Linked DNA regions of Rattus norvegicus. The protein of the gene in region 3 purifies or fractionates together with the protein of the main gene of each other region. This does not show direct contact. Links are inferred from orthologs where the notes say so. Each region holds a gene or a part of one and is shown on either strand. Other genes may lie near its edges.

What was found. The genes of interacting proteins can lie anywhere in the genome.
Region 1: the proteins of Llgl2 (region 3) and Rad18 purify together in Homo sapiens (affinity purification with mass spectrometry; 3 studies listed by BioGRID and IntAct, counting the BioPlex papers as one, with this or other methods). This does not show direct contact. The link is inferred for Rattus norvegicus from reciprocal best matches to the Homo sapiens genes LLGL2 and RAD18.
Region 2: the proteins of Llgl2 (region 3) and Dcaf1 purify together in Homo sapiens (co-immunoprecipitation; 3 studies listed by BioGRID and IntAct, counting the BioPlex papers as one, with this or other methods). This does not show direct contact. The link is inferred for Rattus norvegicus from reciprocal best matches to the Homo sapiens genes LLGL2 and DCAF1.
Region 4: the proteins of Llgl2 (region 3) and Pard6b purify together in Homo sapiens (affinity purification with mass spectrometry; 7 studies listed by BioGRID and IntAct, counting the BioPlex papers as one, with this or other methods). This does not show direct contact. The link is inferred for Rattus norvegicus from reciprocal best matches to the Homo sapiens genes LLGL2 and PARD6B.

The regions. Positions count from the first base shown.
Region 1 is NC_086022.1:147,356,159-147,360,472, reverse strand, and holds part of Rad18 (E3 ubiquitin-protein ligase RAD18), read left to right. Parts: intron 1-222; coding exon 223-322; intron 323-3,922; coding exon 3,923-4,107; intron 4,108-4,314. UniProt on the Homo sapiens protein: E3 ubiquitin-protein ligase involved in postreplication repair of UV-damaged DNA. Postreplication repair functions in gap-filling of a daughter strand on replication of damaged DNA.
Region 2 is NC_086026.1:116,411,430-116,415,743, forward strand, and holds part of Dcaf1 (DDB1- and CUL4-associated factor 1), read left to right. Parts: intron 1-1,227; coding exon 1,228-1,480; coding exon of another isoform or gene 1,481-1,608; exon of another isoform or gene 1,609-1,819; intron 1,820-3,395; coding exon of another isoform or gene 3,396-3,427; exon of another isoform or gene 3,428-4,314. UniProt on the Homo sapiens protein: Acts both as a substrate recognition component of E3 ubiquitin-protein ligase complexes and as an atypical serine/threonine-protein kinase, playing key roles in various processes such as cell cycle, telomerase regulation and histone modification.
Region 3 is NC_086028.1:101,577,219-101,581,532, forward strand, and holds part of Llgl2 (LLGL scribble cell polarity complex component 2), read left to right. Parts: intron 1-63; coding exon 64-118; intron 119-659; coding exon 660-814; intron 815-1,854; coding exon 1,855-2,072; intron 2,073-2,149; coding exon 2,150-2,217; intron 2,218-2,300; coding exon 2,301-2,454; intron 2,455-2,543; coding exon 2,544-2,648; intron 2,649-2,934; coding exon 2,935-3,227; intron 3,228-3,328; coding exon 3,329-3,479; intron 3,480-4,314. UniProt on the Homo sapiens protein: Part of a complex with GPSM2/LGN, PRKCI/aPKC and PARD6B/Par-6, which may ensure the correct organization and orientation of bipolar spindles for normal cell division.
Region 4 is NC_086021.1:177,225,826-177,228,929, reverse strand, and holds part of Pard6b (partitioning defective 6 homolog beta), read right to left. Parts: intron 1,190-3,104; coding exon 360-1,189; 3' UTR 1-359. UniProt on the Homo sapiens protein: Adapter protein involved in asymmetrical cell division and cell polarization processes. Probably involved in formation of epithelial tight junctions.

The DNA of each region.
Region 1 (4,314 bases), on a different chromosome or scaffold from region 3:
TAGTCAGCTAACTCCCAAACCTAATTGTAGTCTCCAGGCCCAGGATTCTGATCATGTGACTTCCCAAAAAGTAGCTAGTTCCTAGGAACCAGTTTGCCTGCCTCCTTGCTCTTTTTTAAAGAGTGTATCAGCTGGGAGTCTGTCTTTTTTCTGAAAGATGTCAGTTTGTTAATTTTTACCCTTTCTGTGGCTAATAAAGTTTCTCCCTTTCTTTTAATGCAGTGTCTTGTCCTGTTTGTGGGGTCAGCATTCCAGAAAATCACATCAATAAGCATTTAGACAGTTGTTTATCACGGGAAGAGAAAAAGGAGAGCCTTAGAAGGTGAGAAAGCTGGGCCCAGCCTCTGGCCTGCCTTTGCATGATGCCTCTGTGCTTGATAGGTGTGGGTCAGAAGCAGGACTCCTTTGTCCTGGGGACTTGCACTCCGCTTTCCTTCCTGCGTGAGTTTTCCTTTAATGCTGGTTTCCTCTCCATCCTCCTTTTCTTTCTTCAGCTCACCTCTGCCATATGTCAGTAGCAGATTAGCGCTTCCCACTGCTACATTATGACTTAGAGAAACTAGAGACTTAGAATTCATTTATCTTTTAAACTTTCTTTTTAAAGTTCTCAAATGGTCATGCAGAGAGAGGCCTTGCCAAAGAGAGCAGGGACAGCTTATATTTGAAGAATATAAATCTTTCATTGGTTCTTAGGATGTTTTAATATTTTAAATCTTTAAACAATTAAAAATGTAATGTTTTAAGTATTAATTTAAGTCAGTCCTACTGTTTATTTGTCTATTTGTCTGTATATGGTGCTAAGAATTGAATCCTAGTGAGCTTTTTCAAAAATTATTTTTTGAGGGCTGGAGAGAGATGGCTCAGTGGTTAAGAGCACTGACTGTTCTTCCAGAGGTCTTGAGTTCAAATCCCAGCAACCACATGGTGGCTCACAACTATCTGTAATGGGATCTAATGCCCTCTTCTGATGTATCTGAAGACAGTTGCAGTGTATTCATATACATAAAATAAGTAAATCCTTTAAAAAAATATTTTTTAATAGGCTGTTCAATAGCTTAATGATCCCCTGTAAAAATGATGCAGAAAAATATTTTTAGCTAAGTATAGTGATATGTGCCTGCAATCCTAGCATTCAGGAGGCTGAGACAGGAGACTCAAGGGTAGTAAAAATGACTGAAATGTAGGTTATCTTTGGCTACACAGAGCCATTCCAGCCCTGTGCTTCTAATTCCTCTTCCTTGCCGGAGGGTATATGTGGAATGTAATGACCTCTCTCCAAAGCACCGGGAGATGACATTCCAAGAAGGTGTGAGGTTGGGATTTGTGCCTAAACTACTGTGCTGCTTTGCATCCTTTGTGTACCAAAGTCACCAAATCTGGAAGAGTCCACTTGTGTGTTCAAGGAGTGATGTTTTAATTGAAGTGTAATTGCAGGGCTTTGAGAATTGCAGGGACTGGTGGAGACAATAAAGAAACAGAAGGGTCAGGTTTGAGCTTGGCAATGGTAGATGTAGTTGGGAGGAAGCATGGGCAGCAAGGTCAAAGGAAGATTTTATTTTTAAAAGCAGGGTATAGACCTCAATCTTCTGCATTATCAGGCAGTAACAGGACAGTGGTAAGCACAGGGAGTGAAGTGGGGTAAAGTTGGAGACAGTCAGTGAGAATTCAGAGAGCTGTGGAAAAGTCAAGGGGGCTAAAGACTTTAGTGACTGGAGAGTGGATCAACTCTTTATGTTCATCTGTTTTGAGGAATATTCTCCGAAAAGCATTCTCTCAGAAGGCAGGACTATCTTACTGTTTTACTTATTAAAACTAAAAAGGCGCCACTCAGTTTTTCTGAGTCAGTTTGGAGTGAACGCAGGTTCATGGGGCAGGCTGTACTGCTGTAACTTAGAAAGGCTGAAGTGGCGATGCGCTGTTACCTCATGGCACAGGCTCTCGTTGACCCCAAGCCTGGGCAGCACTGTGCCCCCGAGGACTGCCTTCCGATATCCACAGCTTGTTGACGGGAATAGGACTAGACACTCCTAGTCTTAAGATCTTACTAATTAATTTGCTGTTGTAATTTTGTTACTTAGTTAGAGGGAATTTGGGTAATCCAAGGAGATATCCCAGGATGACTTTAAGCCGTGATCTCATCCACTGCTTTCCCCCTTGTGTTTCACCCCAGAAAATGAGTTGGACGCAGCAGAGCTGAGTATTTTCTCCCTGAAGAGTAAGAAATTTGTACTGATGGTCTTGTTTGGATTGTTCTCTTTCTAGAAGGCTCTACCGTATTCTCTAATGCTTCTAGCTCCGTCCAGTGGCGTTCCAAATCTGGCTGCACAGAGAGCCTTGCCAGTGGGTCTCCAGTGCAACTTAGAGCTAGCCCATACCGCATCACTCTCAGTAGACTGCTGAGAGAGAGATCTTAGACCTGAGACAGACAGCTGCTGGTGTCGGTTGTGTTTTACAATTCCTAAATTGGCTTTACAGCACCAAAGATCATTGCTGAGTATGGCTGATAACCCAGACCCCATCCTGTGTGGAGTTGTCGTTTGGTTCAGAGCAGAGCTCTTTTCTATTGATGTCCTGGTTCTGAGACCCCTGACTTGTGATACTCAGCTTCACTGAGTCAACATAGCAACGAACAGTGTCATGTCATTCTTGGGGAAATGTTTCTCTGGCTTTAGTTTCTCAAATTCTTGATAGAGCTGATCGACATCTGGTGGGGTTTTCATTGTGAAGGCCAGTGAACAACACTGTAGATATTTATCAGAATTTCATAGTTGTAAATGTAATAGTCTGTCCTTGATAAAATAAATGTTTTAGTTAGAGACTTAATGAGTCACTCCTTCCTTGGTGCTTGTCATAAACACTGTAAAATGATTCAGTTGTTGCTACCTACTGTGATTTTATTTTACCATAATTTCATCAATCTTGTGGAGTCCAGTTGGATACCATTATAAGAACAATTTTGGAAAAATACACTCTTTTGAAGTTGCAGTCCTCTTACAATTACTAAAGTGATTTCTGGCTTTCAAACTTTCCTGATGGAGCATAAAAGAGATAATTTAGTCAGGAAATGATTCTCGTGTGAGTAGAACTGTTGTGTCTATACATGACTATAATAGTGCTCTCAGTATGACCTTTGGACCACTGCATCAGATTCACCTTGGGAAACTGGAAAGTAAAGACTCTCAGTTTCCACCTTTAGGACTGTACCATGTAGATGGATGCTGTGGGACAGTGACCGAGCATCGTCATTTCAAACAGTCTCTCCTGGTAGTTCTGAGGTCCTCTAAAATTTGAGAAGCACAGCCTTTTGTAAACTCTCTTTGCTTATTTTTTAAAGAATCTTTTTCTTTTAAACACTCCTAGTCTTAAGATCTTACTAATTAATTTGCTGTTGTAATTTTGAAATGATTGCAGTTGTGAAGACCACTTTGAAAACTGCTTATTATTATCTAATTGCCCTTAGGGCCGACCTCTAGTCGGAATGCTTATGCTGACACCCTACTCATCTATCTACCTTTGTGTGGTGTGGGTATGCATGCTCATGTGTGGGTACATGTATATGTTAGCATGTGTGTGAGCCAGAGGTCAACCCTGGGTATCATAATCAGGAGTCTGCTCTATCTTGTTCTTTGAGGCAGAGTCTCTCATCGGGGCCTGCCTGGCCTTGGTCAGTTAGGCAAGCTAGCTAGCAAGCTCTAAGGATGCCTCTGTTTCTATCTCCTCAACTTTTTATATGGATGCTAGAGACCAAACTAATGCTTATGAAGCAAGCACTTCATTGACTAAACTATTTTCCCATCCCCCTTTTTTTTTATCTTAATGTCTCAAATATTTTTCTAGTCAGTCAGGTGTTAGGAAGGTAAATTACTGTTTTATCTGAGAATATTTGATAATTCACAAGGTCTTTCTTGTTTGTTTGTCTTAGTTCTGCTCACAAAAGGAAGCCATTGCCCAAAACTGTGTATAACTTGCTCTCTGATCGTGATTTAAAGAAAAAGCTGAAACAGCATGGCTTATCTATTCAAGGAAACAAACAGCAGCTTATTAAAAGGCATCAGGAATTTGTGCACATGTATAATGCCCAGTGCGATGCTTTGCATCCTAAATCAGGTAAAGTAATACACCTGTGCTCATCTCTGGAAAAAGTAAGTATGTAGCTCAGAGATTTTTAAACCACAGAAAGAATTTTAATAAGTACCTTTGTGGTAGTAGATAAGATATGCAAATGAATTTTAGGAGCTGCCTGTAGAACACTGTGCTAAGGCAGTCTTCCTCTCAGGCTGTCTCATAGCCCCAGGTCTCTTCTCAGAGGAATCA
Region 2 (4,314 bases), on a different chromosome or scaffold from region 3:
ATCATGATTCAAGTGATCACTTTTACACACTCTCTCTCTCTCTCTCTCTCTCTCTCTCTCTCTCTCTCTCTCTCTAAGAGTACTGGGTATCATTAGTTTTCCCATGTATCCGCCATAAATGGTTGAAAAGTCTAAGTCACTGCATGGAACAGCTTATCAGGAAGTCTCTCTGGGCCTGAGCCTGGATCCCTAGACCCACATCAAGCTGGCTGAGGTAGCAACTGCAGTCCATAGTTCCTATAATGAGGGGGGAAGGGAGAGGTGGAGACAAGAGAATCCCCAAAGCCTGCAGACCAGACTTAGACCAGACCTTGACTGAAGAACAAGAGATCCTGTCTTAAACAAGATGGAGGCCTCTGACATATGTGTACATGGGCACATGTGTTTTCTTCTGTACAAACACCAAAGAACACACACACCAGAGACCTCAAAGCAGAGTTGCTCGTTAATAGGTCTGGGTTACAGTATAGCTCTAATTTTTTTCTTCGTTGTGGTACTAATTTTTCAAGTGAGTGGCAGATTTAGAATCCACAGGAAATGCTTCACTGTTTTTCTAGTAGGTTTCATACCATTGGTAAATTACTTTAGAATAGAAGAATGGATGGATTTGTTGTCTGTCTGCCCGCCCATCCATCCATCCATCCATCCATCCATCCATCCATCCATCCATCCATCCATCCATCCATCACTTTGTAACAGGAAAGGTAGATGTCTATTTACTCTGTCTTGTGTGCCTGGCTTGCTGAAATGTTCCTATTCAGTGCTTAACAGCTCTTTAGGTATCCACCTATTATGGAGGGTGGAATACATGACTGGAGGGGTTTAAGAGCTAGCAACTCAGCCACTGTGTCCTTTGTTTTGTTAGAATGTGGGACTTTGGGTTTCAGGACTCTTTGTCCAGTGTCTGAACTCAGTTCACTTACTTTGGTTGATGCGGGAAGCAGAAGAGTCCCTCTGGTCTTTCAAGGTTATCAATGGCTTGAGATGTCTGTGAGTCAGAATTTCTGTTTCTATGCATAAGGGCTCTATAATCAATATTCGCTTGTGGACGATCAGAAACCCTTCCAGAGTAGGTTTTCAAATGTCTTGAACATGTGTGCCTGTCCCACTGACAAGTCTGTTCTGCTAACAGTTTATTCCTCTGTCCCCTTGGGTAGGAATCACCACATGGCCCATACAGATTAAGGCTTTGTGTTTCTCCTAATGGACTTCATGCTCTCTCACCAGGAAGAGGAAGAACAGGAGGAAGAGGATGATGAAGATGATGATGATGATACTGATGATTTAGATGAATTAGATACTGATCAGTTGCTGGAAGCAGAACTGGAGGAGGATGACAACAATGAGAATGCAGGAGAGGATGGAGACAATGACTTCTCTCCCTCTGACGAGGAGTTAGCAAACCTTCTAGAGGAGGGAGAGGAGGGGGAAGATGAAGACTCTGATGCAGATGAGGAAGTGGAACTGATCCTGGGGGACAGTAAGTATAGGACAGAGTTTGGGATGAGCCTTGGCACCCAGGGCCAGGTCCCTCCTCTTGTACCAACCCATTCCAGAAGAATGGGTTTTGCTGACTCTTCACTCTGGTCGCATGAGGAAAAGCGCTGAGGCACCAGTCACCCCCCTTCTCCTGTCAGACTCCGTAGCCACGCCAGGTGGCTTGTACAATTTTCTGTCAGAGCAAAGACAATGCTTTTTTGCTTCCTGTGTCTTGTCCCTATCACAGCCACTCAGCTGCACTGTAGTAATGAGAAGGCAGTCACAGGCCAAACATAAATTGATGTTTATAGTTGTGTTACAATAAAACTGATTTACAAAATAGGTAGTGAGCTTACAGTTTTTTAATTCGAGCTTTAAAGGATTGGGCTTAGGAAGGCGGAAGCCTGCACCTGAGGGTTGGGCCGAAGTCAGCTTGAAGCAGCTGTTATCGGCTGCTTTGCTTCTGTGACTGCCGAGTGCAATTAAGGAAGGGCTTTTGTGGGAGAGCCTTTCCTGGCTGCTTTTGGCCAGATGTACTCTTTCCTGAAGGCCAAGGAACAACGTTGTCTTGTTCATTTCACTCTATCCCACTTCTTGTTCTAAACTCTAAAGAACAAACTCCAGTTTGTATAGTAATTTTCCACTGGCAGATTTCCGAAGCCATTCCTACCATTGCTTATGAATTTAGGATCTGGGCAGACACCAGCACTGCACTCTGACATGTCTCTGTCCAGCCACAAGAGTGCCACAGTTGGCAGTTATGCTGGCCATGGTGCGAGTATTTTTATTGCTGTCCTGCCTGAGTGAGGAGTGGTTCCTGTCTCATTTAGCTGATACGCCAAGCATTCTCACAGGCACGGTAGGTACTCTGTCTATTAATAACAGACACTTATCAAAGAGGGCTGTTCACATCTAATTAAATATTAGCTTCTCATTTCCAAATGCTCTGTAGCATATGTTGCTGAGCAGTAAGAACACAGGTTTATATCATTTTATATCATGACAAAGTTGTGTTATGGTGGCCTAGGTCAAGCAGACTTCATGCTGCTGCATCAGATGGTCTCCTGTTTATGATCATGTTTCCTGGTATGAGAGAGAGGTGGGTGGTAGTGTGTTTAATATAGATACTCCTATTATGTGGACTGTGTAAACACAATACTGTTCCTCTACCTGATGTAAGTTCATTTTTGGGGGGGATAGATATCTCCTATGTGCTTGTAGAGCTGGGACTGACGGCTGATTGCCTTAGGAGAGACTTATTAGTAATTCCTCTTACTGTATCTGAGGAAGGTCTTGGTGGGAGTGGGGTTGCTTATATCCCCCTATCTGCAGTGTATCATATGCAAAGGTTGAGGAGATTCTGTGGATTAGCCCCAGGCCATGACCTCTGAGGGCTAGATAATGACCCAGGGACATTTTTAATAGTGAGGTATTAGAGACAAGTTTTATCTCCCTTCAAGGGTTAGCAGTGCACTTTAGAGATTTAGTGAACAGCAGGCAGCTGGTGCCACCTGCATGTCTGACATGCTTTTTTTGTTTTGAAATTAAAGATATTTTACCAAAACCCAAGATTTAAAGAAGTTTCCAGATAGACAAGACAGACCAGTCAAAAGCTGCTTTTGAAAGACAGACCCTGTAACAAAGTTACACTATTACCAACAAGGGTGCAGTACTGTTATTGGGCGTTCCATTTTTGTTTGGTTAGGCTTTTTTCTCAAGCCTACTTACAGCGAGAAGCGGCTAGACAGAATAATCTGAAGAACTGAGTTCATGCTTTTAACCAGTAAAATGAGGTCTCCATGAAAAGGGGAGGGGGCATTCTAGACAATGAAAATAAAACTACTTCCCCATCAAAGATAAAAGAGAGAAACCTTCCTTCCCCCTCCTCTAACCCTGACAACTGCCTTCATTCACAGGGCTGTGTACTTATTCCATGATGGGGCAGTGAATGAGAGCAGAGCCGCTACAGTGACCGTGTCCCAACAATCCAGATGACACTTCCAACAGTAAATGAGACATACATGTGCTAATGTGCATTTAATCACCAGAGGAGCGAAGATATCTGGGCTTTTTTTATTCTGTAATGTTTCTAAGCCTGTACCCATTAAATACAAAGCAAAATGGAAGGAGTCTTGGCAGAGCAGCAGGGACACCCACGTGGTCATGAGATGGGTTGAACAGTTACTCAAGCAGGGAGCCTGATCTGTGCTCCAACTTTTTCTAGGTCTCGGACTTGGCTCTTTTCATAGTAGAGCTGTACATCCCAGTACATCCCAGTGCTGGGGACTACTGCCTTCCAGATCCTTTAGCTGATCATAGCTTGCTTGCATGGGGATGGTACATTTTGGTCATGAAACAACTTTTAAGTCCTACATTTATTGGGTCTTACTGGGGCAGACAGTTGACATTTAAGTGTCTCTTTGAGGGGCTCCTGGGCAGCAGTGACCACATGGTTAATGTGCTTCATCCTCAGCTATGAATGACACTGCCATGACAGACACTGGCTCAGCCAGCAGTGCTTGGATTTCCTTTATTATATGGGACAGCATGGTCATCATCTCAGATCCTGAATTTGCCCTGGTCACCTAACATGGTTTGCTGCATGGCCCAGGTTGGCCTCAAGTTCCCCAGTCCTTCTGTCTTCACTTCCTGAGTGCTAGAATTACAGGCATGTGCCACCACACCCAGCCTCAGGGTTTCCATTCCTAATTTGAATATAAACCCTCTCAATTTTAATTTGGTAACAGTACACCCTCCTTTTGATATTCTGAAATTTCTTCTCTCAAAGCAAAGGTAATCTGGAAAACTTTATTGTTACTATATAACCTGGGTATA
Region 3 (4,314 bases):
TGTTTAGTGTAGGGGATCTCGACCTTGTGGGAGACCTGCTTAAGCTAACATCTTTTCTTTTAGGTCCTTTTCCTTGCAAAGCTATCACCAAAATCTTCTGGCTTACCACCAGGCAAGGGTGAGTGCTGGTGCCTCATCCCTCCCGCTCTGTATAGACAGCCTCTCTGGAAACATCCCCAGGGAGACAGTGACGACTGACGACCTGCTAGAATCTTGGTCCCGGTGGGGGGCAAATTTGTTATTTGTTAGACCCCCTCAGTGAGCAGTTTCTGCAAAATCCCTTCCCATCCCTTCCTTCAACCTTCCCAGAGAGATGCTGTCCACTGGAGTTCTGGACTCTGTGGCCACAGCCTCAGCCTCATTACTGTAGAAGGAAATGTACGTAGTGAGGCCTGGTGTGGGGACAGTTTCGGAGGCCACTGTACAAGGGCAGGGTTGGCTATGGAAGCCCAAGGCTCCTAGCCTGGATGTCCCACCTCAGTGCTGCAGTCAGGAGGAAATGGGAGTCTGGCCTCATTCAAGCTCTGGGATCCCGCAGTCTCTAGACCCTGCCTCAAAGGCTGAGACTTGTCTCTGTATCAGGTCTCAGATGCCAACACAGCTTGTGACTGTTAAGAGTTGTCCAGAAGCCCCAGCCCACCTTTCTCCTGTGCCTACAGGTTGCCCTTCACCATCTTCCAGGGCGGTATGCCCCGGGCCAGCTACGGGGACCGCCACTGCATCTCAGTGGTCCACAATGGCCAGCAGACAGCCTTTGACTTCACCTCCCGTGTCATCGACTTCACCGTTCTCATGGAGGCTGACCCTGTGGCTGGTAGGAGAGCGTTGGAAGTTGGGGTGCTGGGCAGGTGCAAAAATGAAGGCTTTTGGGTACATGTTCCCAAACCTGTCACCCTTCAGTCCCTTGGCCTTATTATCTTTCTTTGTAAGGCCAATGACACCTGGGAACCTCTGTCTCTCTCTGCAGTTCTCCCAGGCGGAGACCCAGTCTGGAATGCCATATTTCCAGGCCACGCCTCTTGCCTGTCCCAACCCCTCCTTAAGGGATTTGGCCCAACTCGGACAGATCTGTGACGCTGGATTTATGCCAGTCCCGCTTGGCGAGAGGGTCCTGGCTTAGATGTGAAGTCTGGATGGGGTAGCAGGTGGCTATATGGGTCAGCTTCATAAATGAGAAAACAGACAAGACCAGCAAGGGTCTTGGTGTAGAAACAGGGACACCTTTGAACTGGGCAGGAGAGGGAGACCATGCCTCCTCTACTGATGACCATGAGCCTAGGTCCACAGTGGTTAGAGGTGCGATGTTCCAGGCGCGCCTGGCTCTGAGTCTTGTTTCGGAGCTTCCCACTCTCAGGGAGACCCTAGGCCTGTGTTTTCCTTCTTTCTCAGCCTCTCCTCCCCTCTTCTTGCTCCAGCTACCTAGCGCTATCCCTCCTCTCATCTCTTCCTTGTTAAGCAGTTCACAGGTGGAGGCCACTCTGTGGGGACACAGACATACTCTCTAGCTTGCTGCCTGTCCATGCTTCAGGCCTCCAAGGCAAACTAAAGTGCTGTGTGGCACAGAAAATACTTACCATCCCTCCCTTGACATCAGGGCCAAGGCCACACATTAGGAAGAATTTCCCAGCGGCGGTAGCTTCTCCCATATCTGACTGAACTCAGGCCTCTTGTTCAGCTCCGAGGGGCACTGGTGTCCGAGCCTCGCAGAGAGGCCTTGGTCATGGCCTGCAGCTTGCAGCACAGGACAAGCTGTACAGATTGATGGTCCCAGCTCCCTGCCTGGAGCTCTGTCTACAGGCCACACGGGGCTGGCTGCCTGCCTCTTTCTAGCCTGACCGTTTGCCTGTTCTCCAGCCTTTGATGACCCCTACGCCCTGGTGGTGCTTGCCGAGGAGGAACTGGTGGTGATTGACCTGCAGACACCCGGCTGGCCGCCAGTCCAGCTGCCCTACCTGGCTTCCCTGCACTGTTCAGCCATTACCTGCTCCCATCATGTCTCCAACATCCCCCTGAAGCTGTGGGAACGAATCATCGCTGCCGGCAGCCGCCAGAACTCGCACTTCTCCACCATGGTAGGGCCGGCCCTCACCCCGAGCCCACTCCTGTCTTGGGCCCAGGTTCTCTTGGACTTCCTGATCTCTTTTTCTAGGAGTGGCCCATAGATGGTGGTACCAGCCTGGCCCCGCCTCCACCGCAGAGGGACCTGCTGCTCACAGGGTAGGTGACTTTAGTGGCTGGGTTGTGCATTCAAGACCCCAGGCACCCTGGCTGACATAGCCCTCACCAGGCTCTGCCCACAGGCACGAGGATGGCACAGTGCGGTTCTGGGACGCCTCGGGTGTCTGTTTACGGCTGCTGTACAAACTCAGTACCGTGAGGGTGTTCCTTACAGACACAGACCTCAGCGAGAACCTCAGCGCCCAGGGTGAGGACGAGTGGCCCCCACTCCGCAAGGTGAGGCCAGGGGCCTGGGAGCCAGGGGTGCAGGGAGGCAAGCTAGGATGGCCCGGTGGCCACTCACGGGCATCCCCTTGCCTCGGCAGGTGGGCTCCTTTGATCCCTACAGTGATGATCCACGGCTGGGCATCCAGAAGATTTTCCTCTGCAAATACAGTGGCTACCTGGCTGTGGCAGGCACGGCAGGGCAGGTAGCAGGCTGGGCAGGGTGGCGTGGAGGGCAGAGTGGTTGGGCGGCTTTGTGAGGGGGGAACAGGAGCCCCTGTCCGAGGGCATCGTTGGGCGCACACCTGCAGCTTTCCCCAGCAGATGCAGGACTCCAGTATCGAGTGACCCCAGAGTGACCACTGTTCTGCCTCCGGAAATGAGAATTTGGACTGGAGTCAGGCAGAGGCCTTGAGCGTTAGCGTGGCTCCTGAGTCCCTGCTGGGCTGTGTCGTGTAGCCTCTGCTGAGCTCTCTGCCACCCCCACCTCAGGTGCTGGTGCTGGAGCTGAACGATGAGGCGGCAGAGCACGCCGTGGAGCAGGTGGAGGCTGACCTGCTGCAGGACCAGGAGGGCTACCGCTGGAAGGGCCACGAGCGCCTCGCCGCCCGCCCCGGGCCCGTGCGCTTTGAGGCAGGCTTTCAGCCCTTTGTACTGGTGCAGTGCCAGCCCCCAGCTGTGGTCACCTCCCTGGCCCTGCACTCTGAGTGGCGGCTTGTGGCCTTTGGCACCAGCCACGGTTTCGGCCTCTTCGATCACCAGCAGCGGCGGCAGGTCTTTGTCAAGTGAGCACCGCATCCGGGGCTTGGGACTGGGACCGGGTGAGGACCTCCTCCACGAGGTGCTGTCCCGCGGATGACCTGACACGACTTCCTACCTCCTCAAGGTGCACACTTCACCCCAGTGACCAGCTGGCCTTGGAGGGCCCGCTGTCCCGCGTAAAGTCCCTCAAGAAGTCCCTACGTCAGTCATTCCGTCGGATGCGCCGCAGCAGGGCGTCCAGTCATAAACGGCGGCCTGGTGGCCCCACGGGCGAGGTGAGGCCCCAGGCTCAGAGCAGCCATCTGCGGCATACAGCTCTCCCTCCTTGGCTGTAAGTTCAGGATCCGAATCCAGATCAAGTAGGTTCACCACCCACTTACCAAGTGGCCTTACATATGCCACGCTGCCTTGGTGGCTCAACTTCCTGCATCCAGAAAGCCATACCTGTGACACGTTAGAGGCAGGTCCCAAGCAAATGTGCAGGTGCTGTCTTAGTCGGAGTCACTGTTGCCAAGATGAAACACGGTAACCAAAAGCAAGTGAGGGCCAGAGGGTTTATTTGGTTTGCGCTGCCCCCTACCACACAAATAAATAAATACAAAAAATAGTAACCCTCGGAATTGGAGAAAGTCTGGTGTCTGAGTCAGGGTCACTGTTGCTGTGATGAGCAGCATGGCCAAAGCAACTTGGGGAGGAAAGGGTTTGTTTGACTCCCACTTCCACATAATCAAAGGAGGTCAAGACAGGAACCCAAACAGGGCAGGAGCTCATGCAGAGGCCATGGAGGGGGTGCTGCTTACTGTTCTGCTCCTGGTGGCTTGCTCAGTCTGCTTTCTTATACAATCCAGGATCACCTGCCTAGGGGATGGCGCCACCTACAGTGGGCTGGGCCCTCCTATATGAATCACTAATTAAGAAAATTCTCTAGGGGCTTGCTCACAGATCAATCTTATGGAGGCTTTTTCTCAGCTGGGGTTCCCTTCTCTCAGATGACTCTCACCTGTGTCAAGTTGACATAAAATTAGCCAAGACAGGGGCTGGGGATTTAGCTCAGTGGTAGAGCGCTTACCTAGGAAGTGCAAGGCCCTGGGTTCGGTCCCCAGCTCCGAA
Region 4 (3,104 bases), on a different chromosome or scaffold from region 3:
AAATTGTCACAGTTAACAGAGGAGCATTTTAAAGTCAGAAAACATCAACGCTGGGAATCTAAGAACTGAGGTTCCCAGTGGCTAACAGACAATCAGACTTCACAGAGGGCAAAGAGCGGGCCCTGCAGGCAGGCAGACACTGGCCACCGCAGCCCGGCTCCAGGCAGGTCTCAGTCAGAGAAGCAGCACCCGCTCTGTGGCCTGCTCACACTCACCGGCATGGTAGACGCCCCACCCCATCCCAGCCGCACTAAGGCTGTCGTGGAGTATCACGGCCCGGAGGTCCACAGCATCAGTCTTGTGCTACACTCACACACCGTCCCTCACATCCTCACTCAGAGGACAGACAGCTTGGCGACTCACAACGTTATGATTGTTCCGTCTTCCTCTAAGAGTTTCTGATCCGGAGCTCGGCTTTCCGACTCGGTGTCCAGGCTGCTGGGGACAGCCACCAGGCTCGTGTCCTGGAGAGGGGAGAACCCATTCTGCCCCGACTCGAAGCTGAGCTCGATCTGCGTCAGGGACTCCAGGCTCAGGGCCTCGGGGGTGGCCTTCGGGATCTGCTGCGGCTCACCACTGCCTTCAATGATAATGTCGTCCTCATCGCTGTCCTGGTCCTCTGGCTCCAAGCTGGCCCCTGCCTGCTGTGGGTAGCCCAGGAGGCTGTTGTCGGTGGACTGGCCGGAGCTGCCGGAAGTCCGACTGTTACGCACCACGTTGTTCCTCTGGTTGGCCGGCCGCACCGTGATGATGAGGTTACGGCTGTTGGCTATCATCATGTCAGTCACCTGGTCCAGGCTCTTGCCTGACACTTCTATACCATTTACTTCTAGAACTTCGTCATTGACAGCCAGCAGGCCCGTGCTCTGGGCCAGGCCCCCGGGGACGAGCCTGGAGATGAAGATCCCGGGAACTTTCTCTAAACCATGCGGCGTCACACGGACGCTGGAGCCGTCCCGGATGTAGAAGCCCAGGGGCTTCTCTGTGCCGTACTTGTACAGACGGACCCTGCGGTGCGTCTCCGGGAGGATGTCCACATCGATGATGGATGACACGGGCCGGAAGTCCTGCGGCATGCTGATGACGATGTGCGGCTTCTTCCTGTGGTTGTCGGGGCGCAGCACGTTGCTCAGCACGTTCTTCTTCCTGATCAGGGTGTCCGTGCCAAAGGCGCTGTAGTCGGCTTCTTCTGCTTGGAGAAAACAAACGCAGGACGGTTACAGACCCACCAAGAAACATGCCTGCCCGCAGCTGACCCGGCAGACAGCGCCTAAGATCAGCCTCCGGGTGTCAGCTACTCAGCCAGAGCAGAGAGCTGCACGGGTGACTGCCATACCCTCAGAGGACACTAGAGGGCGCTATCACACATCGCAAACATCACTAACTACTGAACTACTTAAGTGAGCGGTGAAATTCTGACAGTCAAGTACGGCCCACACACCTGCTGTCATCCCCACGCTTAGGGGCCAAAGACAGAAGGCAGGAGAGCTCAAGTTCAAAACCAAAATCTAAAACCCAAAAGACCCAGAACATCAAAATAACCTGTGGTGGACCTTACAGGCTCAATTTCCTCCTCCTGCTCTTCTCAGGTGAAGAGGCTCACACTGCCAGGCCAGCTTCCGTCACCACACCTGGCTACAACTTCATCTCTTCTCCCCTTCCTGTCCCCCGGGTGTTACCTGGTACTCAAGGCAATCCTCCTCCTGCCTCAGTCTCTGAAAAGCTGGGGTTACAGGATTTACCTCTAATGTTAGCACGTCATCAAGCTTGGGCTGGCAAGAGGGCTCAGTGGTAAAGGAGCTTGCCGCCAAGCCTGATGCCGTGAGTTTGGTTTCCAGGACCCACATGGTGGAAAAAGAATCAACTCTCAGAAGTTGTTCTCTGACCTCTATGTGCACACTGTTGGCAAATATGTACACATATTTAGTACTCACACCTGCAAACCCATCTCTTGTGCAGCGGAGGCAGGAAGATCAGGAGTTCAAGGGCAGCCTCATCTACATACTGAGTTCAACACCAGCCTCAATGACAGGAGATCCCCTCAGAATTTTTAAATCTTTTAAAAATATATTTGCACGTATGGGAGTTTTGCCTGTGTGTGTGTGTGTGTGTGTATGTACCACATGTGTGCCTGGTGTCCTCAGAGATCAGAAATGGGCGTTGGGTCCCCTGGAACTGGAGTCACACCTTGTAAGCCATGTGCGGGATAGAACCTGGGTTCTCCGGAGGAGCGGCCAGTGCTCTTCCCAGCTGAGCCACTTCTCCAGCCAGAATAAAAATGATTTGACATCAGCTACTTGAAAATAAACTCTCTCTTAGCAGGGTGATGGAGCACGCCTTTAATCCCAGCATTCAGAGGCAGGGCAGAACCTCTGAGTTTGAGGCCAGCCTGCTCTACATGTAGAGTGAGCCCCAGGACAGTCTCGGCTACACGGGGAAACCCTATTTTGAAGGGGAAAGAAAACAAACTTGAGATACAGTCTCACACTGAAGACTAGGTTGGCCATGCTGGAGCAATCCTCCTGCCTCTGCCTTTACTGAGCTAAGATTAGTGTTATCCCAACCTGCCCGCTTAAAACAGCTCCTTTAAATGCAGGTTTTCCTGCATTTAACTAGAACACTTCCGCTTTGCATATTTATCACATCCAAAATAAGGCGGGGGAGGGGAACTCAGGAGAGAAAGATGGCTGGGTGTGGCAGTGGGGGTGGGGGGCACTTGCCTGGAACTAGTGAGGCCCTGGGTTCAGCAGCTGGGAGGGTGGGGGAAGAGGAACAAACCTAACCGAGCCACACTTAATCCAGCCACACTTAATCGTGTGAAGTCAGGACGCAGCCAGTGCTGTTTGTCTCTAAATCAGCTCCCTTCTCCCCATGGGCTCTGAATCTCTCACTCCCCACTCTGGCAGAGGCAGAGGTGTGGGATCTTTCATGTTTTCAACCAGGTGTGACATCAGTGCTGTGGCAGACTGGGGTGCGGGGTGGGAGGGCTCTGGCAAACTTGGAACTCCTGCCCCATCTAAGTTGTGTCGTGTCTCTTGGTTCCCAGCAGATTTCCCTCCATGTTGGAAAGCCTTGTTTTTCAGTAAAACTTCCGTTGTTGCTGG